6 linked regions of the Oryzias latipes genome follow. The protein of the gene in region 3 interacts with the protein of the main gene of each other region in a pairwise test. Links are inferred from orthologs where the notes say so. Each region holds a gene or a part of one and is shown on either strand. Other genes may lie near its edges. The genes, in order: ankrd44, fbxl18, wwp2, wipf1, arrdc1 and pdlim7.

Region 1 (5,417 bases), on a different chromosome or scaffold from region 3:
TGGACCGTGTGTGAAAGTACAACATACATGGACCATGTGTATGAAAGTACAACATACATGGACCATGTGTGTTAAAGTACAAAATACATGGACCGTGTGTGAAAGTACAACATACATGGACCGTGTGTAAAACTACAACATACATGGACTGTGTGTGAAAGTACAACATACATGGACCATGTGTATGAAAGTACAAAATACATGGACCGTGTGTGAAAGTACAACATACATGGACCGTGTGTAAAACTACAACATACATGGACCATGTGTGAAAGTACAACATACATGGACCATGTGTATGAAAGTACAACATACGTGGACCATGTGTGTTAAAGTACAACATACATCGACCGTGTGTGAAAGTACAACATACATGGACCACGTGTATGAAAGTACAACATACATGGACCGTGTGTGAAAGTACAACATACATGGACCATGTGTGTTAAAGTACAACATACATGGACCATGTGTGTTAAAGTACAACATACATGGACCATGTGTATGAAAGTACAACATACATGGACCATGTGTGTTAAAGTACAACATACATGGACCATGTGTGAAAGTACAAAATACATGGACCATGTGTGAAAGTACAACATACATGGACCATGTGTGTTAAAGTACAAAATACATGGACCATGTGTGAAAGTACAACATACATGGACCATGTGTATGAAAGTACAACATACATGGACCATGTGTGTTAAAGTACAACATACATGGACCGTGTGTGAAAGTACAACATACATGGACCGTGTGTAAAACTACAACATACATGGACCATGTGTATGAAAGTACAACATACATGGACCGTGTGTGAAAGTACAACATACATGGTACGTGTGTAAAACTACAACATACATGGACCATGTGTGAAAGTACAACATACATGGACCATGTGTATGAAAGTACAACATACGTGGACCATGTGTGTTAAAGTACAACATACATCGACCGTGTGTGAAAGTACAACATACATGGACCACGTGTATGAAAGTACAACATACATGGACCGTGTGTGAAAGTACAACATACATGGACCATGTGTATGAAAGTACAACATACATGGACCGTGTGTGAAAGTACAACATACATGGACCATGTGTGTTAAAGTACAACATACATGGACCGTGTGTGAAAGTACAACATACATGGACCGTGTGTGAAAGTACAACATACATGGACCATGTGTGTTAAAGTACAACATACATGGATCGTGTGTGAAAGTACAACATACATGGACCATGTGTATGAAAGTACAACATACATGGACCGTGTGTGAAAGTACAACATACATGGACCATGTGTGTTAAAGTACAACATACATGGACCGTGTGTGAAAGTACAACATACATGGACCGTGTGTGAAAGTACAACATACATGGACCATGTGTATGAAAGTACAACATACATGGACCGTGTGTGAAAGTACAACATACATGGACCATGTGTGTTAAAGTACAACATACATGGACCATGTGTGTTAAAGTACAACATACATGGACCATGTGTGTTAAAGTACAACATACATGGACCGTGTGTGAAAGTACAACATACATGGACCGTGTGTGAAAGTACAACATACATGGACCATGTGTATGAAAGTACAACATACATGGACCGTGTGTGAAAGTACAACATACATGGACCATGTGTATGAAAGTACAACATACATGGACCGTGTGTGAAAGTACAACATACATGGACCATGTGTGTTAAAGTACAACATACATGGACCGTGTGTGAAAGTACAACATACATGGACCGTGTGTGAAAGTACAACATACATGGACCATGTGTGTTAAAGTACAACATACATGGACCGTGTGTGAAAGTACAACATACATGGACCATGTGAGAAACTGCATAGGAGCCTGGCCGTGTTGGCCCCACTGACAGGGGACACAAATGTAAATCCAATGCAATAAAACAGTAATGAACTTTGAAGGTGGGGGCCCTTGGTGGCATCAGAGAGCTGCACCCTCCTCTCCAAACTCTTGTAGTGTGAGGACCCCCCAGGGAAGACGGTGTGACAGCACACTCTTTGAGGGGCCTACCGGCAGCTGTTCCTGAAGAACTGTGACGTCATCAGGTACCCCAGCAGAGCACCTTCATGTGCCACTGAGCTTTTCTGAGGACAGCTGCCGTCTTTGATCCAACACCTGGATGCAGGTGAGGGGAGGAGCCAGGATGTCACCTGCAGCATTCCTCACATTTCAGACCTGCTGTCAGTAACATCTGCGGTTATCAGTAGTGATGATGACACAAACACTGAAGTGAGACACTGGAGGTTTTCCTCTATTTCTGCTTCTGCCTGTTTCCCCCGCAGTTCTGGTTCTGGTTCTGGTTTAGTTCTAGCCCACAGACCCGTTTTTATCAGATGAATCAATGAAGAAAAGGTTCCGCTTGAAATGAGCGGTGAAAACCTTCCGAGCTGAACTTTTTTCTGCGGAAGTTCTTCTTCTCCGTCTGCGCCGCGGTCCGTCCCCTCAGAGGCGGAACCGAGCTCCGCTTTGACCCGGGCGGGATGCTGAGCGGCGCCTCGGAGGCTAAGCTAACGGTGGCTAGCGCACCCTACCTGATCGGCCAGCTTGAGGACCGCCATCTCTGGGTCAGCCGCTGCGACCTGCACGGAGCGATGCTGCGCGGCAAGCGTCCGCCTGGACCGGGGCTGCAGCGGCGTCTACGAGGCTCGTGGGTAACCGGTGCTTGCTGTTGTGAGGAAGGCCGTGCCGGGCTCCACGGCCATCAGCCCTGCTCCACGGACGCTATCCGCGGCGCCGCTAGAACGCGGCGGCCGCGCAGAGTCAAAGGGAGGCGGGACAGGTCTGAGCCGCCGCCGCAAACAACCCGCATCTACGGCTGCCGCTGGTCGGAGATGCCGCGCGGCTCTGGGAGCTTTACGGAGCACGCGGAAGCCTCCGTCCGCCCTGGGTGCAGTGAAGGGATCTGGGGAGACAGCGGGCTGAAGGCAGAGCGCACAGGAAGTGGCAGCGTCCGCCTGTCAGATTCAGAAGTGGAGCTTCCTCAGCAGCATCACCGGCCGCGCGGGTTGCCGCTCGCTGCCGCCCCTAGCGGCCACGCGCGGGGCGCCGCTCGCTGCTGCCCCTAGCGGCCACGCGCGGGGCGCCGCTCGCGGCTGCCCCTAGCGGCCACGCGTGATGAGCCGCTGAGGGGGCAGTGAGCGTAAACATGAATAAAGTTAAGTTAAAAAATTATATACAATAATAGAGAAAAATACATACTTATAATCATTATTCAACAAGGTGAATAATGATAATTATAATACTTATTATTATTGTTGCTGTTTTTTATAGGCTGTTTGCACAGTGGGTTGAGAGGAAAGAAATTTCATCTGTGCTGTAGATCTTGTAAAATTCAGTACATTTAAAAATAAAGCTGACTTAATATAATAATAATAATAATAATAATAATAATAATAATAATAATAATAATAACGTTTCTCTGTCGTGCTGGCTAAAAGAGGCGGAAGAAGAGGTGACGCACTTCCGGTGTCAGTCTCGAACAACCACCGTCAAGATGGCGAAGATCGCCAAAACACACGAAGGTAAAATATCACGAAAACCTGTGAATACGTTGTGTGTGGCCCTCTCTTCAGCTCTTTTGCTTTTTTAAATAATGTATGCGTTTTGTGGTGTCAAATGTTTTTTGAAGTTGTGCTTTGTGGCCGACAAAAACATAAAAAACGAGGCGGCCTGTGACGACGCAACGCGGACATTTTACATAATGGCGCCGGTTGCTAGCAAGCGAGCTGAAGCCTCACACAGCACCTTTGCTACCGTGAAATAGTTCACGTTACTGCGCTAAGCCGTTGAGTTCTGTGTATATTGGTATTTTATTTGTTAGTTTGTTATCTGCAGTTGTTTGGTTTTCTTTGTCCTGTAGATTAGCATATTTAACGCGAACACGCAGCGTGACCAACTTCGCCGTGCTATTTGCACAAAATGTTTTTGCAGTGCAAATGAACGATTTTGCAGTGCAAAACGGTTTTGTGTGAATCTTTGTGGTTCTTCTGTGGCAAAGAACCGATCATCCTATCGAAACCAGTCTGCGGTGTTTTGGGTGCAAACCTGGCCGTTTAGTTCACGAAGAACCGCGGGATGAATGTCAGCAACGTGCGTTTGTAACAAAAGCCCAATCTTTCGTTTAACGTGTGATCAGCAATGGGCGCGTGCTGGAGCGATCAGGCTCAGCTTTTGGTGTGTAAACAAAAGACCAGGCTGGAGCTGCTGTTCAGGATTGATTCATCATTAAGCGAGAAAACTGTTCAGGAGCGCGCTTGTTGCATGAAATTACATTTACAAATTTAGCCGATTTCAATTAAAAAGTCAATCAAAAAACTCAAAAGTCCCCCCCCCCCGTTTATTATGCGACTTAAGATCATTTTTCTACAGCTTTGCTATTTGTAACTAATGAAGTTGACTAAAAAAAGTGTCATTAATTGTTGACATTGAAGCTTTCCATAACTTGTTGTGGTTTTTTATTTTTACGAAAAACCCACATGGCCACAAATCCAGTTTTAACAATAAAATATTGTTGAAAAATGTAATGTATATTCATTCCCACATGTATTTTTACTTGGGTGCTTAGATATTGAGGCGCAGATCCTGGAGATCCAGGGGATGAAGGCCTCCCTGAAAGAGGATGCAGGTCAGGGAGTGGGCCTGGACTCCACTGGCTTTTACGACCAGGAGATCTATGGAGGCAGCGACGGTCGTTTTGTGGGATATGTCACTTCCATTGCAGCCAATGAGCAGGAAGATGTAAGTAAAGATGTTTTACCTGCAGTTTTCAGTCTGCTCCCACCGTGCTTGTCTTGTGTGAGCTAGGAGAGTCTTGCCGCTTTGGCGAGATTTGACTAGACTCTTGTTTCTCTTTCTGTCTTTAGGATGATGAAGATGACACATCGACAAGTTTGTTGGGACAGAAGAAGCCAGGCTACCATGCACCAGTGGCAATGCTCAACTCCATTCCCCAGTCAGATGAACATGTATGTGTTCCTTAACATGACAGGAGGTGCACCTTCTTTCCAGGACTTTGGATCAGAGCCTCATTTCTGTCTCCATTTTGCAGTACGACCCATTCGCAGAGCATCGCGCGCCGAAAATCGCAGATCGGGAAGATGAATACAAAGCTCGTCGCAGACAGATGATCATTTCGCCTGAGCGCCTTGACCCCTTTGCAGACGGTAAATGTCACCCTTTTTTATCCTGCCTCGATGCCTCAGTTTCACTTCTTTGTTCTGTTTCTGTGTTTTTCGTGGTTCTTATGACTCTTCCAAGAAAGCCAGTGGCTTCATCCAGGTAGATTTTCTGTTCAACCCTTCGACCACAGTGTAGTAGACTGAAACCTTCCTTTGTTAAACCCACTGTCAGTGTAAGAGGGTTTGA
Region 2 (5,275 bases), on a different chromosome or scaffold from region 3:
CGGCGTGAAAAGGGTCTGCCTGAGCTCAGTGAGGCGGCTGAGAGAGTCCACCGCCTCGGAGCTCAGCAGAGCGGAGTTGAAGCACGGCCGCACGTCAAAGGCCAGGGATTTGAGCAGAGACAGGGAGGAGAGGAGACGAGACAGGCAAATGGAGGTGAGGCGGCAGCCCGTGACATCCAGATGCGTCACTCCTCTGCAGCGGGACAGATACTCCATGGTGGAACCAGAAAGCCAATAACAGCCGTTTAGGCTGAGACACTGAACACGGTTGGCTAGCTGCTTCAGTATGACGCGAACCAAGTGATCATCAGCCTGAAACAAAAAAGAAATGGACCAATTAATGATTTCTTAAATTAAACAACAAGAATGTGTTGCAAAACATTTATTATTTCATGCTTTGTATCGCACTTCATTTTCCATTTAAGTCAAAAGGTACCTTTAGTAGGTTGGCTCCCTTAAAGTGAAATGTTGTGCACATTTCAGAATTACACCAATAAGACCTTTCCAGATCAATAATTTAAAGCTGTTTGTTAAACTGAAATAGATCAAGCCGTAAACAGATCCTTCAGAGTAAAAGTATGCTGGAACACACTGTGGCACATATTGTGTCACTTAGTAGGCTTCAATCCTTCTATTATATGACTAAAATGTCATGTGTTGTTTAAAAAATGACGAGAAAAAGGCAACCAACAATAGAAGAAATTAAAGACCCTCAGAAACATTGGGAAACTCTGACAGAGGGAAGTCGGGCAGACCAAGAGTCGATTCTGAATCCTGAGAGTTAACAGCTACATGACATGGAGCCCACGAGACAACAGCTTTAAGGACAGCATCCTTCTAGCTTCATTGGTTGTAGGAGGCTAACCTCAGTTTAAACTGTAAGAAGAAAACTCAAAATTGCCGGGTTGACAGGACAAGTGTCAAAAAGAAGGGTGATTGGTGGTCAATGATCGAAGGGGCAGCGGTTCGATCCCCGCTCCCTCCAGTCAACTGTCGTTGTCTCCTTGGGCAAGACACTTCACCCACCTGGCCTCCAGTGTGGCTCCACTGGTGTGTGAATGTGCATGAATGTCCCGGTGATGGTCAGAGGAGCCGTAGGTGCGAACTGGCAGCCACGCCTCTGTCATCACCAAGTATGAATGAGGAGTGAATGAATAGTGGACACATTGTAAGCGCTTTGAGCGTTATTATTATCATTATTATTACTATGTGTCAGAATAAAAAAAAAGGCTTGCAAGGGCCAGGAAACTGGCCCTCTGATGACTGGAAGGTGTTGTGAACTGAGGAAACAAAGTTAGAATTCTTTAGTTTATCACGCACAATCACACTGTTAAACAGGTGAAAGGATGGCTCCACAATGTGTGACTGGCAAACAAGTAGGGGGAAGTGTGATTATAGGGGGATGTTTAGCTGGATTTAGGGCAAGTGACTTCTACAGCAGCATGACTCTGCAGCACTGTGCCGGTCCTTTTGGTATGTATTCAGGATTCATGGTTTGTTTTTTGTTTTACAGAAACTCCAGTTGCTTTTTTGCACCATTTCAGACATGTGACAGGACATTACACTAAATACATCTTAATAAAAACTAAAAACTTTGGAGTGCTCTTAAACTTTTGTCTGGTAGTGTATATAGGGTTACATGCAGGTATAAAAACGTAAGAACTAACTGAAAAACAAGTTTTCAAACAAGAAAAGCGCCATTACTTTTGAAGGATAAATAATTTCTTTACCAGGTATTCCTCGGACAATCTAACTTTAGTGAGTAGGGACTTGTCATGGCACAGTGTGTGTAACTTTTGGCAGACGTTGGCCACATTTGTCAGCAAGTCACACACTGGAACATGACGCAGGATGCACAGCAGGATCTCATCGGACAAGTCGGACATTCCTGCAGAGGCGGAAGACATTGTGTCCTCCACACGTACAGCCTAAGAAGAAAAGCAAGTCATGCAAAATACAACTTTAGATCAGTAATACACTGAAAGAATATTTAAGATGTTAACATCTTCAATGGAAAAGTTACACAGTGGCTTTCAATATACTATGCATAAAATTCTAATTAAGCAACTGTTTATTCCATATTTTGTCCGTAGAGACTGCGCTTTATCTCTTACACTTTGTGGTTCGACTTTGATGTTTTAATTTCTGACAAAATCACAACAATATTCTTCCATACATAAAAAGTAAGCAGGATGTCTGAGAAAAAAATCATATTCAGCCATTATAATGTGTTGATGAAGCTGCCCTTGCAATGCTTATGAGATGTGGCAACACATGAGTGCACTCCGAAGGGTTTGTTAATTATACATTTTATAAAATACAAAAGTACAACAGATGTACTGTACCAAAACCTGTTCTAGAAAAAATGTCAAAAGAAGCAAGGGCGGTTTTGTTCGCTCCCTCTATCATAGATGGATTACAGTTACCCCAAATCATAGTGTCACAGTGTGGGGCTGTGTAATCCAAGTCTGAGTGTATTCTTCTAAGAAGAGAAGCACTAATTTAACCCATTTAAGAGTGATATCTAAAGCTTAACTAAAACAAAGCACTTTTTGTTTCATTTATATTTATTTACCTTTATTCTTTCCTTTTTTTTAACTGAATTAGACTAGTCAATGGTAAGCAGTCCCTCCCAGGCAGAAAAAAATCATTGTTGCAACGATTTTAGCAACCCTCTTACCTGGACAATTTGTGTATTCATGTCCTCTATAGTTGCACTCACAGTCCCACTCATCGTATGTAGGATTTTATTGTCCCATTCACGCACTATATATTTTTTAATTGTTCATAAAGCTTGCTCCAAATACGAGCTACAAGCTCCTGTATTATACATACACATACATAAATGCTGCTAAACACGTCGGAACTATTTCGAGGACGGACCTACTTCCGCCCATTGGCGAAAGACTTCCGGAGGGTAGATTCTTTTTTTTCTTTTTCTTTTTTTATTTATTCAAACGTGAAAAAAACATCTTACAACAACAATCTTGAAAATCAAAATCAACCAAGAAGATAAATATAAAGTATCATTTAAGAGATTAATTGCATTAAGTAAGAAGATTGTGTGATTTACACGTCTTCACAAGTAAAAGGTAATCTGTTAAATAAAAATGTACTATTGTGGTTCATAAAAAAAAGTTAAATAAATTACTTTAACACGTTTGTTACTATCATTTATTTTTAATCATACTGCTTACATCAAATAAAAAGATTTGAATAAAGTTTTGACTTATTTCGACATAGACGATGTATTGTACAAAAGTAGCCTTTAAGCAATTAGACGTTTTTTGATGTAGACATTAAATCAGAAGTTATGTTTTATAATTCCAAAATTGATGATTTTTTTTATTTAAAGATTAAACTTCCAAGAACCACGTCCCCCGTTTTTACTTTAGATCCCAAAGCAAAGAAAATAAATTCTGAAACAGCAGTTTTGCATCCAAGTAAGAAATAACATTAATTTTGCAACAGCCAAATACCTCCAACAAGTATGGCAAGTCCTGAGAAGCCAGCTCAAGGGCAAGAACAAGAACCGGGCAATAAACAGCTACGCACTGCTAGTTATCAGATACCCTACAGAAATAATAAGACGGCCAAAGGAAGATATACAGATATACAGACCACGGATGTATATCTATATCAATGGCTAGAAAGGGCTGGCCTACAGGACAGCACTGAAGCGCTCATCCTGGCAGCTCAGGAACAAACCCTGAGCACCAGAGCGGTAGAGGCTCAGATCTACCACACCAGACAAGACCCAAGGTGTAGGCTGTGCAAAGAGGCACCTGAAACAATCCAGCACATAACTGCAGGGTGTAAGATGCTGGCAGGTAAAGCATATATAGAGCGCCACAATCAAGTGGCTGGAATAATATACAGAACATGTGTGCAGAATATGAACTGGAAACCCCCAGGTCAAAATGGGAAACACCTCCAAAGGTGGCAGAGAATGAGAGGGCAAAGATCCTGTGGGACTTCCAGATCCAGACTGATAGGATGGTAATGGCGAACCAACCAGGCATTGTAGTGGTGGATAAAGAACAGAGGAAAGCCGTTGTGGAGAATGTGGCAGTGCCAAGCGATGGGAACATCAGGAAGAAGGAACATGAGAAACTGAGGAAATACCAGGGACTCAGAGAAGAACTGGAGAAAGCATGGAAAGTGAAGGTGACAGTGGTGCCTGTGGTAGTTGGAGCACTCGGGGCAGTAACCTCCAATCTGGAGGAGTGGCTACAACAGATATCTGGAAAGACCTCAGACCTCTCAGTCCAGAAAAAGCGCAGTGCTAGGAACAGCTAAGATACTGCGCAGGACCCTCAAGCTCCCAGGCCTCTGGTAGAGGACCCAAGCTTGGAGGAGAAACCACCCGCGGAGGGTGAGAGGGGCGTTTTTTATTTTCATATATATATATATATATATATATTACACTATGTTTTGCTAATTTTGAAATACTAACATTGTAATCTCAATGTTTTAGGCTTGAACATGATAGCTTTCTTGTTAACTGTTTAGTAAGCCAAATATCGGATAAAAATACTTTTATACATGGGGGGGGGGGGGTCTTAAAGATAGTGGTATAATTTCTGGAATAGTGTCTTTAATTAGAATTTACAAACCACAAAAGTAGTAGTAAAATAGTTAAGTAAAGCAAAGCAAATAAAGGGTGGAATAATAAAATTCCCTTCCTCCTACTCCTTTCCAAGCATTTAAACCTTAAATCTCACATTTAATAGATTGTGTCATGGTTTGTATGTACAAGCACAAATATGTCTAATTATGGCATCATTCACATTTGCTATCCTAGGCACTTTAACATTGAGAGTCGAGTTATCTAGACCCACTAGACAGTGCGCTGAACCTTTTTTCTTTAATGATTTGTGAACCTCACTGGTGTCCATGGATTACATGAAATCTTTCCACCTTTATCATGGTAGGGAGAACAGCACAAGGGTTAATGGATGGCTCTTAATTTGCCAGTCGTGAGCAATCGTCCAGAGTTAGATACATTTACATTGATGTACATCTTTACTTCAGTATGTTTTGAGATTACTTCAAAATAGTAAAAAGGTAGATTAAAAAGCAGATATGGCTCATCTAGTGTACTTTGATCACACAGAAAAAAGGTAAAAATTGGAAGTTCAGGTTATTGTAAGTAGCCTGAACGTTTCCCTTGAAGATTAATATGTACACCACAAGAATTGGCAAGTAGTCTCTTCAGTAGTGATGCTTTACCCCCCCCCCCCCCCCAAAATCGTTTGAAATGATTACAAGACCC
Region 3 (4,654 bases):
TTCTTGCCGGCGTATTCAAACAAACAGTACATGGGGTTCAGGACTTCGTGTGACAGCAGGAAGAACCACTCTCTGCAGAGCGAGAGGACAGACGGCGTTACTGCAGGGCGGAGCAAAAACCTGAAGATCATTTACGTCAGGACAACAGCTTTCATTTTCATTTAGGGAAGGGATGGAAAGCTCAACACATGTCTGGAGATAACACCATATAAGAAACACAAAGAAAAATAGAAAGTCCGAGATTCAGCAAAAAAACGAAACCTGTAAAACATGGAAGGATAAAAATAAAAAAGGAACTTTACACATTAGTGGAAAATAAAACAAAAATAAACGAAAGTGTTACAACTTTTCCAAATTCCTAAGAAAGAATTTCCCACTCTCATAAAGATTGTGTTTTTAACATGTTCTTGAGCCATTTTTCTCATGATGGAGAGCACATATAGAAAAACTTAAGACTTAAAACTGCATTTCTGAGTAATTCTTTATTCAAACCATAGTGAAAAAAAGAAAAAAAGGCATTGGAAAAAACTTGGGTGACATAGAAGCTACTACGGCAAGCCACAAGCTCCCTGCTCCGCTCCATCTTGATGCATCCACCAGACAAATAGATCTGTGAACGAGTTTGTTTTTCGTATTCAAGCTGACGTCTGGCTCAAAACCAAAGACTAGCTCCGATATTGCTCGCCATTTTTGTTGCACCGGTAATATTCGGTTGGGGTTGTGAGGACTGTAAGCTAACGAGAGAGCGTGCAAACAGATGGATGATGGGAAGGGAGGAAAGCTTACTCTGCACCAACAGTTCCACCTACAATTCAATTTCATATAAACTACTATTGCTCTGCAGAAACTATGTTCTAGTAAACTACACCTTTTATTTTTTTGTGGCTAAAAACGGCATTTAAAAAAAAATAATGCTGTGAACGCTTTAAAAATACATCAAGAGATGATCAGAATCAGATCAAATGTGTTAAAGTTTGTCTTGAAGCAATTCCAACGAACGACAGAGCAGAAGAATCTGAAGAGCAGATTAGACAAACTGTGGAGGAATGAATGTTAGACAGAATGAAGGCCCCTCCACCAGCAGCAGCAGCAGCGCTCCTTAAGCCCCGCCCACACCCGCGGGGGGCGTGCGGAGCGCTGGGTGTTATGGACTGACGGACGGGCTGACGGACGCAGACACCTCCCAACATCCCGTCCGTGGTTCTACCCTGTGGTAGAACAGCATGATGTCACCTACCATAGGGTAAAACCACTGACGTGACACCGGAGACAGAGACACAATGCAAAAAAACAAAAAAAAAACAAAACACCCAAAAGGGAGAACGATGAGAACACCACAAACAGAAAAAAAAATATATGCAGAGAGGAAGACCTGAAGGACAGCAGGAGGCGTGACAGGAACAGATGATGGTGGGAGGACAAGGGAGCTCCAGGAGGAGGAGGTTCTGCAACAAGCTAAAACATCCCTGTGTGGCTACAGGATGAATCTTTACACAGAAGACGCTTTTCTGCCTTCAACTCTGGCGTTTAAACACAGGGGAAGCTAACGGATGATTGCCACAAGAACCTGTAGGATCATGGATCTCCAAAAGTTAGCAAACTTTAATCAGAGCTCAGACAAATAGCAGGAGGATTACAGGGTTTAGTGTCGAACCTGATAAACCCGGTGATGCTGCATCCTGTCGCTACGGCAACAAATTGAGAAAACGCTGCCACCATCGGGTCATTAAAACAACTCCTAGTGCATGTTGGGACAACAGACTGAAATTTTAAAGCTAAAAATAGTTTAAGTCACGAGTTGATAATGAAACAAAGCATAACATAAACTTTGCGTTCATTCTCCATCACTAAACCTAAATATGTAATCTATAGGAGGAGGAGGAGGAAGCGGCAGAAGCTAAACATACACCAACACCACCCTCACCAACATCAAACATGGAGGCTTGTGTAAAGAATACCCACAGGTGGATGAGATGCAGGAAAACCAGAGAAGGCACATAAGACGACAGAATGCGAATGAAGGCTAAGGCGGAGGTGCGTTTGGATTTCTCCTCACCTGGCGATGCCGCCATAGTCAAGCCCCTCCTCCCCTCTCATGATGATGTAGAGTCGACGACGAAGATCGTACGGCTTCACATTCATGATCTGATGAAGAGAAGTGTAAAAAAAAAAAAAAAAAAGGTTACTAGTAAATTACTAGTAATTTTTTCTGTTAGAAGTAACAATTGTTTTTCAAGACAAAACATATTGAATGATCTTGAGTCATTTGATTTTAAAATACATCAAATTTTTAAGTGTATTATATTATTTTATGCATTTTAACTGTAATTTGTGTTTTTTTTCCTCTTGTAGAGCACTTTGTGACTGCTGTCTGTGGTACTTACCAAATATCTATATCATTAGAAATTTGCCTGAGTTGTGGATGGGACTGTTAGCATAGAGTGCCCCGCCCCCCCTTCCTATCACCCTTATCCGATAGTTCTCTGTTCACTCTCTATCCTGCTAGCTTACAGCCCCTCACATCCGTAATCCAACATGACCGGCACAACAAAAATGACAATATATGTCCTCCACATAATGAGAAAAATGCCAAAGTTTTAAAGTAAACATACATTTATGTATATGAATTTATGTCCAATTCTCATCTTACTTTTAGAAAAAAAAGGTTTAGAAATAAGGACTGTTGTAGCACGAGGAATAGCACAGGATTTTTTTTTGGGGGGGGGGGGGTACTTTATTTTAAATCATGTTTTGAAATATTTCCAGTTACAAGAGCAATCAATATACCTGACAATGAGTGTCTAACCCATCTTCAAAGGCCAGAACATCCTAACTTATTTGAAGATGAAATCTTAACACAAATTCACTATTTCCATTGGCACTTTTAAGCGAAAAACATCTCATACTCTGCTTTTTTCTTCAGTGTATGATTTTGAAAGCGGACAAGAGAAAGGAAAATGAAACTTGACGTCACTTGTTTAGTCTATGTTCAAATCCTAGAGTAGTTTTCAGTCTGACCTGCTGAAATGAATCCTCAAACAGCGTCTGTCTGGACACGGAGATCTTCACGTGGCTTGGCAAGGCGTTGGACTGCAGGGCAACAAGAACCACGAGAGGGTAAGAGTTAAACATATAAACACACACACACATATCTATATATCCATATATCTATATATATATATAGATATATATAAGTATATTTATATCGAGTTGCTGCTACAGTTTGACAGGTGTGCGTAAGAAAGTGACCAGTGAGTCCACTCACTGAGGCATGTAGCCAAGGTCAAGACGGTCTGCTATAGTTCAAACAGAGCATCAGAACCAGGAAGAAAGGTGGTTGAAGTGACTTTGAACGTTGCATGGTTGTTGGTGCCAGACGGGCTGGTCTGAGGATTTCAGAAACTGCTGATCTTCTGGGATTTTCACCCACAACCATCTCTGGGGTTTACAGAGAATAGCCCCAAAATGAGATCAGAGGAGAATGGCCAGACTAGTTCCAGCTGATAGAAAGATAACAGGAACTCAAAGAACCACTGGTTACAACCAACAAAGCCTGGTGCCACCGCCACAGTCTACCAGAGTACTGTTGCTGACCATGTCTATCCCTTTCTGACCACAGTGTACCATCTTGTACCAGCGCGGTGTCATAAAGCTGGAATCATCTTAGACATGATGATGCGTTCACTGGACTCAAATGGCCTCCACATTCACCAGATCTCAACCCAACAGAACACCTTTGGGACGTAATGGAACAGGAGATCGGCATCATGGGATGTGCAGCCGACAAATCTGCTGCAACTGCGTGATGCTGTCATGTCAATATGGACCCACCTCTCTGAGGAATGTGTCCAGTACTTTGTTGAATCAATGCCACCAAGGATTAAGGCAGTTCTGAAGGTAAAGCGGGTCCAGCACGGTACTAGCAAGGTGTTCCTAATAAAGTGGCAGTCCGTTTGTGCCTTCTATTTCTTTAGTAAGATATTTTCACTACATATTCATTTCAAAATAAAATAAATGGAGTCTGTTGATTTTTATTCTCCTCTCACATTGACAGTCTAACAGGTTTTAATAATTTTTTAAAGGATAATAAGTGTTCAATTTATAATTTATCCAAGAATAAATTAGGACGTGATCCTTTTGCCTCAAATAACAAAAAAAAAAGTAGTATTTTTCTGCTTGGAGGAGGCAAAACAATCAGTGAGAGCAGATCCAGACAACAGCAGCTGACTCCTAAAATAATATGAGGTATATAAAAAAATTAAAAATAAAAGGACTTGGAAAAGAGTTTCTGTGCTGTACCCAAGAGCCAGAAGAAATGTGACCTAAATTCAGGCCTCTCCTCTGCTGAAACCGCAGCACCAAAGCAGCTACCATCAGCGGCCTGCTTTTCCATCTTTTCAGGATGTTGACATTTTAAACGGACAAGCAAAGCACTACTGTTTTGTTAGTGTGCACAGCTGCTCCGGGTGTTTTTCTCCACATTGTTCACATGCGAAACAATCCTCTTTCCCCGTATTTTCCCCTCTTCTTCGAAAAAAACAACCTCAGCCAATAAATATATATATATTTTTATATTGAACATTGTTTGGTGTCTGCGGACTCTTTCAACACTTACATGACACAGGAAACGGAACTGGTGGTATTTCCACCTAAA
Region 4 (5,424 bases), on a different chromosome or scaffold from region 3:
GCCCTTTTCTAACTTCTTTGTATTATTGCATGCAGAGCAAAACGATTGATTAACTCAGTCCAGAATGATAAAAAAAAGTGTGAAGCTTCTTGTGAATAATTTCCTGTTCTAATGAGCGCTGAAAGAATCTGTTAGTCAGAAAAGGAAATTAAATGTAAACCTGAAAGTCTGGTTTCTTTCATCTGCATCTGTTTACCAAAAAGCTGCTAAAGTGACATTCTTCCAATGGTGGAGGACATTTATAAAGAAAATCCAGATTAAAATTAAATTTCTGAACATTTCTTTATTGTAAATCAGAAGCAAAAAAAGGTCCCGCCCCAACTCAGAGGTGAATTTCTAATGAACTCCTGCCGCTCTGCAGAAACTATGTCCTATAGAAAACGACACAGGTTTTTTAAATGTGTCTGAAAATGGCACCGTCATCATCGAAAGACCACTGGGAACACTTTTAAAGATCGGAATGACACTTTAAATAGTTGAATGAACAGCAACGAGTTTGCTGGTAGAAAAGGAAAAAAATATATTTCATCTTAAAACTCTACTATTAAAAAAATCTAACTCTACAGAGTGTCAAAAAGTAGTAACTTTAGATGTATTCTCATCAAACTAAATGACAGTTGTGTGTTTTTTACCGTGTACGTTTTCGCTGAAGCACCACAAATGTGTGCATTAAGTTTCTGGCCACTGTCTGGTGGGGCTGCATGGGTAGTACTGCTAAAATAATGAAACATTTCACTATCTGATGCACAATTCATTTCTGATTTGACAAAAATCAAGAGAGGAGGTTTGTTGTTGTCTAAATTACATTTGCTTTGATGCATTTGAGTAACTGTAACTCATTTTGCTTTTAAACTGAACTTGGCCTCTAAGTGTCTTTGTTTCCTAATGTTCAGAGATATCCTCAAAAACATGTTTATTCACTTTTGACCCATCTGTTTACTTTTTTCGCCCTATTTTTTAAATAACCCAAGAAATGAAGGATTCGTTTCAATTACTAAATTAGGTCAAAATTCAGATGAATTATAATTTCAGCTCGTAGGACGTCAGGCTTTACTGAACCCAACATTAACAGAACCAACTTTAGGCTGCTTGATGTCATCTTTGTATTTCCCACACTCTAAAAACAGTCATGGTGTACCACAGGGCTCTGTAGTGGGACCGCTGCTTCCACTACGGTGTTTGTTGCTGCCATGCAAGAACAAGCAGCACTTTAAGACGAGTATTTCAGGCAACACTGAAAGACAAGACGTAATTCACAAAGACATAAAAGTCCTATGACATCTGGCCTGACACCTTTTCATCCCTGCAAAACACAAACTCTCATCGAGTACTTTTGTCATGTTTGTTCATTCGACATCTAATGACACTTGTTAGAAGACAAAACTAAATCCTTGGTAACGACATTGACGATTTGTTTTAGGACAATAAATCTTGAGTATCTTGAGTTACTGGAGCTTGAAAACATCAAATTTTAAGAAATATATCGGACAAAATATGTTTTTACTGTATTTTTGAGCAAATGTTTTCTTTGTTAACTTTAAAAAACTACGTCCAGATGTCAGCCCCTAAAACTACTACTATGATTTGTAAGAACTGTGTGGTTTTTTTCTAAGACACACAGCTTAATTTGGGGAAAATTGACAGCTTCATTTAACTCATAATTTACATATTATTTTAAGGACATGTTAATATATTTAAAGATGTAATTCTAGTGTTCCTTTTAGATTTGGGGGATTTATAAAAATACAACTACTTTAAAGACACAAAACTCTTTTTTTGCTCATTTTAAGACATAACTTAATTAACAGCTAATGCTATTTGTCCTTAATTTAACCAAATCATGAGCCTCCCACCACTGTTTGCTGTTGCTTTTTAAACATTACAGAGTTATAGAAAGAAAAAAAAGCGGCTCAGCTGTGATCAGAAAACAGCAGATCATCGTCAAGATGCTAAAATGGATCATCTCTGTCATGTTGTTTACGTTGAAAGGATTATTTTCTTCTTTGACAGCAAACCTCTTCATGTCCTCTCTAACCGCATCCATAAACCAGCTCCATGGCTGAGGGTCCGCACCGACACTGGGGGGTGGGGGCATAAACCCCCTCTGTGTTCCTGAGCACATCTCAGGCCTGAAGAGCAGAACTAATCTGAGACACTCGGGTGTGTGACCTTGATTTGACCTGAAGGTGTCCTTCCTCTTAGCATTACTTGATATGAAACTGTATTTATGCTTAAAAAAGAGAGAGGATCAGTGTGAGGCTCTTCCTGTCTTATCTGCAGCTTCGGGACTCGGAAAATCTCACTTTCTCTTAAAAAACATCACCAGAGAAATTCTCTGCACTTGAAACCGTTTACTGTCACCTCCCAAACGCTTCATCAACGGCCTTTCCCATGTGGAACACCAGCTCCTCTCCTCTGCTCCTCACTCCTCATTGGAGGGAGGGGGGGTCTTTAAAAGAATAATTTAAATAAATAAAACTAAAAAACGAATCTTTCAGTTGTAAATGTGGATTTAAGATATTTTGGGATTTGTTGGTAATATGTTAAAAGATTCTAATTAGTTCCAATAAAGAGAAAAGATGAGAGCAAAACAGCAGAGTGTGACTGTCACATGCTGTCATCAGTGGGACGGGCCAGAGGAGATGAGAGCAGGCCTCTCCTGGTTTCTACAGTTCTTCTCTACGCGGGTTCTTTCAGTCTTCTGTGAAAAAGCACTTTGGTTCTGCTCAGAATTAGCATTTACATCCTGGGGCCCATTAAACAGAACAGGAGGAACGCTCCGTCTCCTCAGAGGAGTCCAGCAGCTCTGGTACACAAAGTCCTCACATTCAGCTCCACTCAGACATGCTGCTCCTGCAGGACTTCTCTGTCAGCGGAGGTGATCTGCTGCAGATCCTGACCTGCACCCCAGTCTGCCCAGGCCTCTGCCTGAGGTCCTGACCTCTTCACCTTCCCCTAAGTTGCTCTGGAAACTTCTGGGCTGGACTGAAGTCTCTGCTCGCCGCTGCTCGGCGCCTCCACGCCCGCAGCCACACGCCGAGCTTCAGGGGATCGTGTCTTAGCCTACCTGTGGAAGATCTCCGTCTGCGGCGCTGCCGGTGATCTCTCAGAGACTGGCGGGTTCTGCGGGGTTATGCGGGTGGAGGAAACGCCAGCAGCCAATCCCAGAGAGGAGCCAAGCAGAGCCCTGACGCCACGGGTTGAACTCGCCTGAGAGGAGAGGAGAGGGGAGGAGAGGGGAGGGGAGGAGAGGAGAGGAGAGGAGAGGAGAGGAGAGGAGAGGAGAGGAGAGGAGAGGAGAGGAGAGGAGAGGAGAGGAGAGGAGAGGAGAGGAGAGGAGAGGAGAGGAGAGGGGAGGAGAGGAGAGGAGAGGAGAGGAGAGGAGAGGAGAGGAGAGGAGAGGAGAGGAGAGGAGAGGAGAGGAGAGGAGAGGAGAGGAGAGGAGAAGGGAGACCACAGGAGTCCACTGAAGGTCACTGCTGAAGGTCTCCCGGTTCAGCTGCTAACCCATGTGGGAGAAAACTACATCCGAGGAATAATACCACCTTAAATCTTAAGGTGGTAATTTTTTCTGCTGATGCAAAAACTTTTAGGTAACTTTGTATGGAATTTTATGGAAGAGGATGATGGGCATGGAGAAAGGAAAAAAAAGGGCATAGAAACCTAATCCTCTTCTGCAGATGTTGGACGTCCCAAGAAAATGAAAGATTAAAAACTGAAAATGTACAACATCTTTAAAATATATCAAAACACAATCAAGTGAAAAACTAAACAATATATTGACAGAATTTCCAATTGTTGTGTACATGCATATATACACACATAGGCTAGATTTTGTATTTAGTTTGACCCATTTTTATTCATTAACCATTTTAAAAATTAATTTAAGATAAAATTATATAAATACATATAAGTTAAGCTGTACATTGATGAATTTGTGATTATTATCTGTTGTTCTGCATTTCTTCCTTCTACTAATTTTTTTTTTTTTGTTAATTTACTAAATCATGTTGTGTTTTTTGGAATAACAAAATAAATGTTTAGATGAATCCATATATGTTTAATGATCTGTTTAATGTAGCCCACTGTGATCTGAAGAGTGGAACCTGAAAGAACATTGCAGCAGCTAGAACAACAACAGTCAGCATGAATTATTAAAAAGGCCGTTTCTGTGTCTGAAGTGGACGTCCAGCCTTGACTCAACCCCTGCATACATGGCTCTGGTTGCAGCTTTTGCAGCTGTGCAGTCTCTTTATCCGGGTTTCAACAGCAGGGATGCAACGTTTCCAGATGTGCAGCATGCCAAGAGAAAAAAACTGTTTCAGTCTTCTGAAAGCTTTTTTTTTAAAAGAAAGAAGCACTTGTTCGTATTCTTCTGTCCAAGTCAACACCAGTGAAGAACTTGTGTAACATTATTTTGAAATGTTATGAAAACAGGAATGCTCTCAATAACCTCCAGCTTTTGCAAACAGGAACCGTCAGTTGTGCGCAGCTGCCTCCAAATATGGTCTGAATACGAACCGCAGTGGAGCCGGTTTACGCATAAAAAACAAAAGCAAGAAACAATCAAACGGGGGGGGGGGGGGGAGTAAATAACAGACTGCTTATTTTTTAGTCAACTCGAAGCTGCATTTCTTTTTACCAGACTGCCCACCTCCCGCCCGCCCTTATTCGGACTTCCTAAACCAGATCTACAGGAAGAGGGCTCCCTCTGCTGGTCAGAAGTAGCCATGACATGTCACCATGATGTTTAACGTCCCACTCCGATCCTCTTCTGGTCTATTTTCAAAGTGTTTCCAGTTGTTTAACTTAATTTAATTATAATTATGCCTTTTTTTTAGCCACAATTAAAAACTAACTAAAAACTGTATCATTTTCTAGGGCGTTGTTTCTGCAGAGCGGCAGGAGTCCATCAGAAATTCATCTCTGAGTTGTGGGCAGGACTGTTGGCGTGGAGCAACCCTGTCCCCACTTCCCATCATCCACCGGTTTACATGCTTTCCCGCTAGTTCACAGCCCCTCACAATCCCAACTTAACATAACCGGAGCAACAATAATGGTGAGGAATATTGGAGTTATCCAGCTGTACAGTTTCTCTTACCTCTGGCATTATGAAGGCATTTCTGAGCACAGAACTGCCGCTAACTGGATATTTTCTATTTTCCTAACCATTCTCTGTAAACCCTAGAGATGGTTGTGGGTGAAAATCCCAGTAGAAATGCTCAGACCAGCTCGTCTGGTACCAACAACCATTCCACATTCAAAGTCACCTTTCTTCTCCATTCTGATGCTCAGTTAGAACTGCAGCTGATCGCCTTGAGTTGCTGCCATGCGATTGGCTAATTAGAAATATACAGTAATGAAGTTGGACAGGTTAATAAACTGTATTTTCTTTTGTTATTGGCTGTTGTCTTCCAGGTTGTC
Region 5 (5,334 bases), on a different chromosome or scaffold from region 3:
AGGCCTCAGCAATACGCAGTGCTGTGGAAACCAGAATTATTTGGAGTAATGCTCATCTAGATACACAACCAGCAGACTCACTGTGAGCAACATTTAAACCAAAACAGGCAGGTGGCCATTACGGTCTAAAGTCACATTCGGGGTACAGAAAGCAGTAAAGAGCTTCACGCTGTGCTGCAGCTTCATGCTGTTTGCATATTTCCTCTGGATGAATCCTTCTCTGACAGGAAGTGGGCGTGACCCGAGCACGAGGAGACACGAGGAGACCCGAAAGAAACGACTAAACTACAGACACGCCTCAGCTTCATTCAGCACGTACACAACCATTGTTGCTTTTAATTAACAAAAAGCAGCAACACACACCAATGCATTTACAGAACTGAGAAGATAATTGACACCAACCTTTCCACCAAACTCACACCTGCAGACCAGGGTGAGCCATAATGGGGAATTTATTCTTTGAAGGAATTGATACCAAAAGAAATTAATTTTTAATTCAATAAAAAGCAACAACACTTTCCCACAACACTGGAGGAACTTTAACTCGTCTTCTTAACTGTGTTTGAACCCCCTCCCCACTACCTAACCCCAAAAAGACTAGTGCGGGACTATCTAGTGCCCTGGATTTTATTGCAGTTCAGACACAACCTCATTACCTTTCCCCTCAAATGTCACCAATTTGCCAAAGTAAAACCCTAAATATGAGCCTTTAGCAGAGACGGATAAATAAAAAACGTACTTCCATACACTTTTTTCAAATGGCGCATCGTTCCAACACAGTGCATTGTGGTCTAGATTAGAGGATGAACTGGTTCCTCCGTCTGCTCCACTGCAGGGTCATGGTTGCAGTTTGTTTTAAACAGATGTTGCAGCGATTTGATGCTTATCTGCTCTCTGTTCTCCCACTGCTGCAGTTACTGACTTGGCGGTTTTGTCTTACACAGATCATCTGGTGTTTGTCTATTTTCTGTCTTCTCAAATCCCAGCAGATTGATATTTCTATTTGTTGGCATAAATAAAAAATCACAAAAGTATTAAAAAAAACTTCCTGTTTAGTTACCAGGTTTATTTTCAGAAAGCATAAAAATCATTGGAATACACTATGATGGGAGTAAAACCTTGGATTTAGATAGTTAATAAGGACTTTATTTAAAATATTATTTGAAATAAATGTTTGGGTTTTGTTTTTCCAAATGAAATGTAGCCACGACGGGGCCCAAGCCAGGGTCCCATTGTGCTGGTCCCAAGCCCGGATAAAGACAGAGGGTTGTGTCAGGAACAGAATCTGATGTAAAGTCTTTGCCAAACCAAATATGCGAATCAGACCTATGATATCCATAACATTAAACAGCTGGTTGATGAGTATTCTGCATTATTGAAAAAAAATAACAATAAATCCTTTTCTGAGAAAAGACTCCTAGTTTCTGTCTTAAATGCAGATTTATTTTTATTTTGAAGTTGAAGGCTCTTCCTCTGTTTCCCCACTGGAACTTTCCAAATACGTTTTTTGGTTATTTTGCTAGCTTGGAGTTTCAATTTAGCGGCAGCCGCTTTAGGGTTTTGTACACGTGACCGAGTCAAAATCCAGAACATCCAACTCAAGAACGAGTTGGATGTGGTGGAGAGAACCCAGTAGTGTTCCAAAATAAAACTTCCTTCAGAATCAGATTATAAATAAAATGAGGGGGGGGGGGGGGTAGGTTGTGCTTTTACCAACTGTCCCTCGGACCGGTACTGGTCCACAGCCCAGGGACCACTGGATTAGCCGACAACAGTGATCTTTGGTATCCATGTGCGGCTTGAGTAAGATTCTCTTCAATCTTTTGTTCAAATCAAGCAGCTTTAGCTGCTATAACTGAAGTAAATCATTCTTTTGGGGGTCTTTTCCATGTTGCCACAGCACATCAAATGCATCAGTTTTAGATCAACTCCTCCTGCAGTGAACGGAGTGGTGGGCCTCAGATCAGGTCGTAACAGACGATCCCTCTGCAGTTCGGGACTTTCCGCCATGAAGAAAAGCTCCATCATTGGATTTCCGTCCCTGCAGTCCCCGTTGGTGGCAGGGGCTTTGTACCTGCCTGCCACTGAGGGGCGCCTCAGTCTGACCAGGGTCACCTCACACAATGGACCCTCTGTTTCCTCCAACCTGCTATCCTCCTTATGACTACAGGTTTGGGAGAAAGATCTTAAAAAGGAATCCGATGTCTTAGAAAGCTCACTCTGTCTGTTCTATATTTCCGGGTTTTGATTTCAAATAATTATTGTGTCAGAATCAGGCAAATGCATCAAACTGAGTAAAAAGCAGTTAGGTAACCTCCTAGGATGGGGGGTTAAAAGACACCTGCAGACTGAGCTTCAGGTTCAGCTTGAGTCACATCGTCTCTGTCCTCAAACAATTTTTGGGGAAATCTCTGCCTCCCATCTGTCAGGCATGGTGGTGGAGTGCTGGTCATATGGGCTTGTCTCTGAATGCCAAAAAGTTACAATGTGGAGCTGGTATTTTAAAGAGCATCACGCAGCCCAACACAGAAGAGCACAAAGAGGAGAGCCGATCATAAACCAACAAAAAACTATCAGACAGACAGACAGACCCTCCGCCTGTAGGAAGTGCGCACGGACTCGTTCTTTTACACTACATGAACCGAGTTTCCCCTTGAACCCAGAATTCAGAAGTTCCGGTGTCCTTACCCCCCCCCCCCCCCACACACACACACACACACACACATACACACACCACCACCACCTGATCGCTTGTTGTTATTTTTGGGAGATTCATCCGCGCTAAAGAACAGCCCGTCCCAGCAGGCTCGCTCGTTTAGCAGAAACTTTACAACAGCAGCTTTTCAGCCGCGCGCTCCCATCCCTGCACCGTCGCGAGGCAAAAGTTTCACCTCACCGACTGAGTGATGCACAGGCGCCGCTAGCGGAAGCGCGCGCAGCCCAGCACCCCCCCCCCCCCCCTCCCCCGTACCTTTGTAATGCAGCGCGCTGCTGGTCCGGATCCTCACGACCCCGCTGACGGACTCCCCCGGACCGTAGACCACCTTGTTGTTGGTGTAGAAGATGTCAAACTCCTGCAGCTTCCCCATGGCTCTGCTCTCCGCTCTGCCGCGCGCTCACCTGCTGCCGCGAGCTGCTCTCCGCCCTCCACGGGGACTGTGACGTCACCGTGACCTCCTCCGAATCCCAGCCGCGAGCTCAGGGACAAACGTTAACGGACAAATGAGTCGATTCTGCCTCAGAAACAGACCCACAAACTTCACCGGAATCCCCTCACGGTCATACCTGCCACAGGTGCTTTTTGATACTGTGACGTCATCCGACTCTAATCTCCGTTCTCGAGTGGGACTTGGTTGGTTCTATGGGTCTTGGATTGTGACGTCAGCCGGGAAGGTGGGTTCTGCACCTTTCAGCTTTTTAGGTGTTGGACGTAGAAGCGCTGAATGCAGACAGGTGTGTCCTCACTACAGGCGCCTTACTCCACAGCAGGCCTTCCTGTTTGATCAAAGTTTAACCTGAAAATAAATAACTAAATGAAACTGAGAAGGAGCTAAAAGCAACTCAGTTCCTGTCAGGACATGCAAATGATGGAGTTTCTTAATGTAGAAAAAAGACAAAACATAAAATAAACATATATCTGCATTAGTAGGTGCTCCTGCTTTTATCTAAAACATATTACAAATGTTAATTTACAAATGTTAATTTACAAATGTTAATTTACAAATGTTAATTTTAAACCAAAAAAGTTCAGTTTTGGTGTTAGGCCGGCTACTTTATTCATAAAATGTTTGTAATATGATCCTTTAAAAAGAGAAAATAAGTTACTTTAGTTAAAACCTCAAGAATCATGTTGGCAAATAACTTTTATATTTATATATTTAGTAATAAAATGTTAATAAAATAAAACAAAATACCAAGGCAAGACTATAGGAAATAACCAAAAACATTTCATAATCTCTGGAGTATTTTGAGAAAAACAAATGTTCCTCATTTGTTGTTTTTTAATAGCACTCTTACCCTTCCCCTCCTTGAATAAAGAAATACTCAGAAATGTAGTTTTTATTTTATTTTTCTTTAAATGGTTGGAGCGGCTGTGGAGCAGAGGTACAGCGGTCGACCTCTGATCGGAACACTGCAGGTTCGGTTCCCACCCATGTGCCGAAGAGTCTTTGAGCAAGACACTGAACCTCACATTGCTGCTGGTGGTCATAGGTTGATGCCAGTGTTCAGCAGCAGTGTGTGGGTGTGTGTGTGTGTGTGTGTGTGTGTGTGTGTGTGTGTGTGTGTGTGTGTGTGTGTGTGTGGGCGAGTGTGACTGTTAAGTGCTTCTGGCTTTCTGAGAGGGTAGGAAAGTGGTATATGAGGGCACTCCACTTACCATAAATGTCCTCATCATCAGAAAAATGCCACAATAACATGTTAAAAACACCGTTTTCCTCAGAGTGAGCCTTTAAATTGGATTCATGTTGGACTCATCCTCACAAACACGGACAGCGTTGGCCTCAGACTGATCAAAGGTAAAGGTTTCAATCAATGGGATTTTTATTGTAAATGTTTAATACAATTCTTTCTTTTTTTGCCACAGAAAAACAACAGTTTTCTCATCTTTCTAAAGTTTGCAGGAACTCAAATGTTCTTTCCGTTTCTGAGGGCTAAGTTGTCTTAGCGGTGCTTCCTGGCTGAAACTGTACTTGTCGTCTCACATCAGCAGCTGGAGCTGCAGGTGCACAGAGATGCTTGTTTCCTCCTCTCGATATCCAAAACGTCCAAATCTAAACGTGATGCCAAATACGCAGGAACAGACTTTTCTCCTTTTAATTTTTACTTTCCACCATCCTATCAGATTTATCTTTTTTAGCTGTTTTTTTCCTCTAAACTAAAGGACCGGCATTTCCATGACGACAGACAAACGGGACTGTTGCCAAGAGACTGCTGTATCCATGGTAATCTTGCATGTGGTAACATCTGATCAGGGCTTAAGAGCCCCTTCATTTTTGTTGTTGTTGTTGCTTATTTTTTTTTTTTGGGGGGGGGGGGGGGGGGGGGGCAAAGACACCCTGCGATGGACTGGCGACCTGTCCAGGGTGTTCCCTGCCTTCGCCCATGAGTGGCTGGGATAGGCTCCAGCAGGCCCGTGACCCCAAAAGGCACAAACGGAAGAAGATGAATGAATGAATGAAAAAAAGGCCAAAGACATGTGAGGGTGCTCTGACAGATTCTTGAAACAGGATGTGATGTCAGGTTTGTCTTTCAGTCCTGAGGTGGATCCACGTCAGCTCCAAGTTCTGGGATTCGATAAAAAATTCATTTGTTTTGGAGTTTAGTCAAACAGTA
Region 6 (4,055 bases), on a different chromosome or scaffold from region 3:
ACCAAACATTTTGTGGAATTTCACTTTGACGTCCGTTAAAAGAAACTTTTGCTAAAAAAAAAATTTGCTAAAACATCTTTACTGCACAAATTTCATGGATTTATAAAACTTTATGCATTCACGCAAGAGCCAGAAGTTACCTTCAAACTGTTAAAAAAAAAAAGGAAAAGAAATTCTGGTTAAAAGGATAAAATGCAACCAACTAAACAGGAAACAAAACCTACTACCTCAAAAAAAGGAACAAAAGTGAAAAATGTAATTCTTCCGATCGGTTCTTCTAACACTCTTTGATGCCAAACGTGATTTTTGTTAAAGTCGATATTAAATTCTATAGAAATAGCTTTATTACAGGAAGTTTAGGATATGCAAGGCGGAAAGTTATAAAGTGTTTTTAATTAGACTCACCAAAAAAAATGCAGATTCTGTATTTAGTCACAGGTTTAGGGGCAGTTTATTCATCATTTCCTTACACACATTTATCAAACTCCTATAATGTAAGCTGTTGAACTTTGACCTTTCGGGATAGTGAAGCTTTCATGAAAGCACCTTCTGCTCAGAAACCTGAGCTCCAGCAACAGTCTATTAAACTTACAGAACACCGCATTCTGTCCTTAAGACCTCCATTTATATCAAATTTCATTTTAAGATGCTTTAATTATTTTGATTTTATAAGAACTTCTGTATTTTATATTCATGTTTAAAGTTCAGATGTTATATTCAACAGTCTCTAAATATAGAATAAAAGTGGGAAAATGAAAAGGAAAATATTTCCAAACATTTAGAAGCTGTTAGGGTGAATATTCTGGAAAGGGAGTTGGTAGATTTGTAAAGCTTTAAGTTTATAAAAATATTCTTTTTTTTACTAGTTTTTGATTTGTTGGTTTAAACCAAGTCTGTAAATTTACCAGTGGTTGTATAACACTATTGTAACCACAAAAACAAAGTGTAGTTTAAACTAGAAACAAACTTAACGTTTTGTAATTTACTTGTTTTTTTTTAGCTAAACATCTATTTTTTTTTTTTTTTCCCCCCTAAGCTGTTTCTTTTATTTTTTTTTAACTGGAATGGAAGATTTAAAGTCTTAATGAATAATTAGTGGGTAGTCGTAAAAAAAAAAAGGACAATGTGTACGTTGGACTCATGATTCATTTAAATGTCCATAAAAACTTAAAAAATGACTAACAAAAAAATGTTTAAATGTGGTGGAAAAACTGCAAAAATATTTTCCTACACGAGAAGTATTTTATCGAACAAACCCAGTTTATTAAACCGTGTGAAAGGTTAAAGGAGTCGTGCAAAGTGAAGAGAAGGAAACAAAACTAAATGAAAATTGTGAAGTTCATGATCTCTGCCAAACAGTGAAGAGTCTAAAATCTTCTTTTAGGAAATAACTGAACATTAATGACATGCAGTTAGATTAGATAGATTCAAATGTGGAACATTATTACATTTTGAATTACATATTAAAAAAAACAGGGAATTATTTGTATACAAGTCAAAACACAAATAACATGTTTTTGTTTTTAAATAATTGAGTTTCTTCAGTTTGTGTGGCATCTAAAAGGGTTTTATTTGAAACTTTCAACATAAAAGCTACAGAAAATTAAAGCATAGAAATAAATTCCATCATGAAACTAGTGTTTCATGTGATCTTTGACCTTTATTATCAGAACAAGAGCATGAGGGGGAGGAGCAAAGAGGAAAAAAAAGAGAAAATGTGAGTCTTTGTTTAACATTCCAATGATAATATTCTGCTAAACCGGGTTCAGTAGCATTACAGGCGCTGTGGGAGGAGCTTTTCTGCTCTCAGTACAGAAGTGTATTGATGAAATCTGAGCATTATATATATATATATATATATATATATATATATATATATATATATATATATATATATATATATATATATATATATATATATATATCAAGAGCTGACGATCTGAAATAATTTCTCGATTAGTTCCAGTAAAGCAGCAAAATGTTAATTACAAAGTGACATCTGGAGAGTTTTAGCAGCCCTAGAAGGTGACAGCATGTGAAGTCAGAATGAAGCCTCTGAAAATAAAGTCTGCAGGATATAAAAAAAAAAACAGACTGAGCTGAAGTGGCTGTGTGGTTGGCAATGCTGATCGTGTCAGAGGGCAAAACGGGGTAAAGAGGAGGTGGAGGCAGAAGTTGTTCTTTCTGCAGATGCAGCTGGCTCCTCTCACACCGGAGCAAAAGCGTGGCTTTTGCACAGCGGCTTATCCTTCTTCGAGTAGAACGTCTTACCCTCAAGGTTGATTTGGCAGAGCTTTAAAGATGAAAGAAGACAGACAGACGGAGTCAGATGGAGCAACCGAGGTGGAGGAGATATCAAACTGCACCAGTGCCAATGGGAATTTGCACAGTTTGGTGCGGGCCAGAGCGGACCCATGCGTCTCCTTTGACTGTTTTCACGCTCAGATAGGAAAAACCAAACTGAAGAAAGAGCTCCAGGTTCTAAGATGAGCTCAGATGGGTCAGGTTCTGCTGAGATTGGAGAAAAATTGGGGCTAAAAACAAAAAAAAAAAAGGGGTCCAATCAGACTTACAGCACAGACGAAGCACGTGTCGTGCCAGCTGAAGCCTAAGGCCTCCAGGAAACGATCGCCGGCATCAATCTTGAAGTCGCAGCCGTGGCATTTGGTGCCAAACATCTTCTCGTAGTCTGGAGAGGAAACAGAGGAAACTCAGATTCCAGGGAGACTTGACGTCTGTAGAACCAGGCCAAATTATGTCAACAGAACTTTACTTCTCGCCGAGGTTACGGCGCAAAGGATCTCCAAGAGCTCTCGCCTTTCATGTTTTTTTAAAAAGCTGGAGGTTAGCGCCCTTAAAGATGAGAAGACGCTACACACAAGCACTTAAGGGATTGAAGGGAAGCAATAACGGCGGATGAGATGCTGCGGATGCCAAATGCTGGCTCCGCTCCTCATTGGCCATTTGATAGTGTGATATTTGGAGCAACAGTGGTGCCTTCACAGCATGCGGGGATTAGGAGGAGGGGAGGGGGAAATTGCTCCCAATACTTGACTGGATTTGCCAGTCTCTTTCATCACGAGGACTCTGGGGAAAGTGTCAGGTTATAACGCAGCTTCTCAAGAGGCAGCGAGAGCGGCACAATTCCTGCAAGATGCTGAGGCAGCAGAATGTTTATCAGAGCTGAAGGCATTATTCAGAAAATGAGGATTGGGGTTTCTGCCTCTGCCTCTGATAAAGCAGCAAAACCCGTCAGGGGCTGAGCGTTGAGTAAGAAACACATTGCCCCGCTAAATCATTTAGAGCATAATAGAGGAGCGTGCACCTTTCATAACTGCCTACAGAGGGATGCATGGAGTAAACTGCAGCTAAATACATTACAGCAGATGAAAACATCACACTCGGTGATTGACTGTGCTGTGCAGCGCTCCGATTCACCAGACAGAAAGCCTCGGCAGCGCTGCAGCCGGGCTTCACACAGCTGTCACAAAGAGCCTGATAAAAGTCTTTATTTTGGTTTGGAAAACTTCCCATCCTCTCAGCTGCAGAGTGCTGTTGCATCAAACATTTAAGACAGACGGCCTGTGATGCTTTGTACTTAGATTTACAAGAAACATGCAGAAATCATGGGGGGGGGGGGCTCTCACACGGCCTGAGAGGTCTCCCATTGTGCGCTGGAACTAATCAATGTGCACGCTGGGATTTGGAGCCACTTTAATTTCTGCCAGTTTCCTTTTCTACTGCTCAAGTATCCCTGCCACAGACGGAATGGAACTGTCCATTCAAACTCGGGTTTCTGGGGAGGAAAGTGATTACTCCACTCATTTCTAACTGCGCTTCCACAAACCACATTATTCTGACTCGTCTGCACGTGATCCCCCCACCCCCCACCGACAGGAATAAGTCTGTCAGGGAAATTAAATAAATAAATAAAAATAACAGTGAGACAAGAACTCCCTGATCAGCAGTAAAGTAGAAAAAGCCCCCAGCAGGAGCCCCCCGGGGTGTCCAAACTGGCTATAGGGAGTCAAGTTTAGGAGTAAAATGCAGCATAA

What was found.
Region 1: the proteins of wwp2 (region 3) and ankrd44 interact in binary tests that used the Homo sapiens proteins (3 or more experiments, as listed by UniProt). The two-hybrid records come from large-scale screens. The link is inferred for Oryzias latipes from reciprocal best matches to the Homo sapiens genes WWP2 and ANKRD44.
Region 2: the proteins of wwp2 (region 3) and fbxl18 interact in a two-hybrid assay, tested with the Homo sapiens proteins (3 studies listed by BioGRID and IntAct). The link is inferred for Oryzias latipes from reciprocal best matches to the Homo sapiens genes WWP2 and FBXL18.
Region 4: the proteins of wwp2 (region 3) and wipf1 interact in binary tests that used the Homo sapiens proteins (3 or more experiments, as listed by UniProt). The two-hybrid records come from large-scale screens. The link is inferred for Oryzias latipes from reciprocal best matches to the Homo sapiens genes WWP2 and WIPF1.
Region 5: the proteins of wwp2 (region 3) and arrdc1 interact in binary tests that used the Homo sapiens proteins (3 or more experiments, as listed by UniProt). The link is inferred for Oryzias latipes from reciprocal best matches to the Homo sapiens genes WWP2 and ARRDC1.
Region 6: the proteins of wwp2 (region 3) and pdlim7 interact in binary tests that used the Homo sapiens proteins (3 or more experiments, as listed by UniProt). The link is inferred for Oryzias latipes from reciprocal best matches to the Homo sapiens genes WWP2 and PDLIM7.

The regions. Positions count from the first base shown.
Region 1 is NC_019879.2:182,710-188,126, reverse strand, and holds the start of ankrd44 (serine/threonine-protein phosphatase 6 regulatory ankyrin repeat subunit B), read right to left. Parts: upstream 3,085-5,417; 5' UTR 2,612-3,084; coding exon 2,585-2,611; intron 1-2,584. Other genes in the region: sf3b1 (splicing factor 3B subunit 1), read left to right, coding at 3,547-3,574, 4,618-4,790, 4,916-5,017, 5,101-5,215. UniProt on the Homo sapiens protein: Putative regulatory subunit of protein phosphatase 6 (PP6) that may be involved in the recognition of phosphoprotein substrates.
Region 2 is NC_019859.2:22,449,804-22,455,078, forward strand, and holds the start of fbxl18 (F-box/LRR-repeat protein 18), read right to left. Parts: upstream 3,649-5,275; 5' UTR 2,735-3,648; coding exon 2,681-2,734; intron 1,929-2,680; coding exon 1,731-1,928; intron 313-1,730; coding exon 1-312. UniProt on the Homo sapiens protein: Substrate-recognition component of the SCF (SKP1-CUL1-F-box protein)-type E3 ubiquitin ligase complex.
Region 3 is NC_019864.2:27,508,294-27,512,947, reverse strand, and holds part of wwp2 (NEDD4-like E3 ubiquitin-protein ligase WWP2), read right to left. Parts: coding exon 4,616-4,654; intron 3,091-4,615; coding exon 3,019-3,090; intron 2,146-3,018; coding exon 2,057-2,145; intron 1,273-2,056; exon of another isoform or gene 1,178-1,272; intron 73-1,177; coding exon 1-72. UniProt on the Homo sapiens protein: E3 ubiquitin-protein ligase which accepts ubiquitin from an E2 ubiquitin-conjugating enzyme in the form of a thioester and then directly transfers the ubiquitin to targeted substrates.
Region 4 is NC_019873.2:4,904,938-4,910,361, reverse strand, and holds the start of wipf1 (WAS/WASL-interacting protein family member 1), read right to left. Parts: upstream 3,190-5,424; 5' UTR 3,068-3,189; intron 3,040-3,067; exon of another isoform or gene 2,901-3,039; intron 1-2,900. UniProt on the Homo sapiens protein: Plays a role in the reorganization of the actin cytoskeleton. Contributes with NCK1 and GRB2 in the recruitment and activation of WASL.
Region 5 is NC_019870.2:26,761,497-26,766,830, forward strand, and holds the start of arrdc1 (arrestin domain-containing protein 1), read right to left. Parts: upstream 3,626-5,334; 5' UTR 3,090-3,625; coding exon 2,972-3,089; intron 1-2,971. UniProt on the Homo sapiens protein: Functions as an adapter recruiting ubiquitin-protein ligases to their specific substrates. Through an ubiquitination-dependent mechanism plays for instance a role in the incorporation of SLC11A2 into extracellular vesicles.
Region 6 is NC_019868.2:19,511,349-19,515,403, forward strand, and holds the end of pdlim7 (PDZ and LIM domain protein 7), read right to left. Parts: intron 2,690-4,055; coding exon 2,574-2,689; intron 2,294-2,573; coding exon 2,207-2,293; 3' UTR 1,242-2,206; downstream 1-1,241. UniProt on the Homo sapiens protein: May function as a scaffold on which the coordinated assembly of proteins can occur. May play a role as an adapter that, via its PDZ domain, localizes LIM-binding proteins to actin filaments of both skeletal muscle and nonmuscle tissues.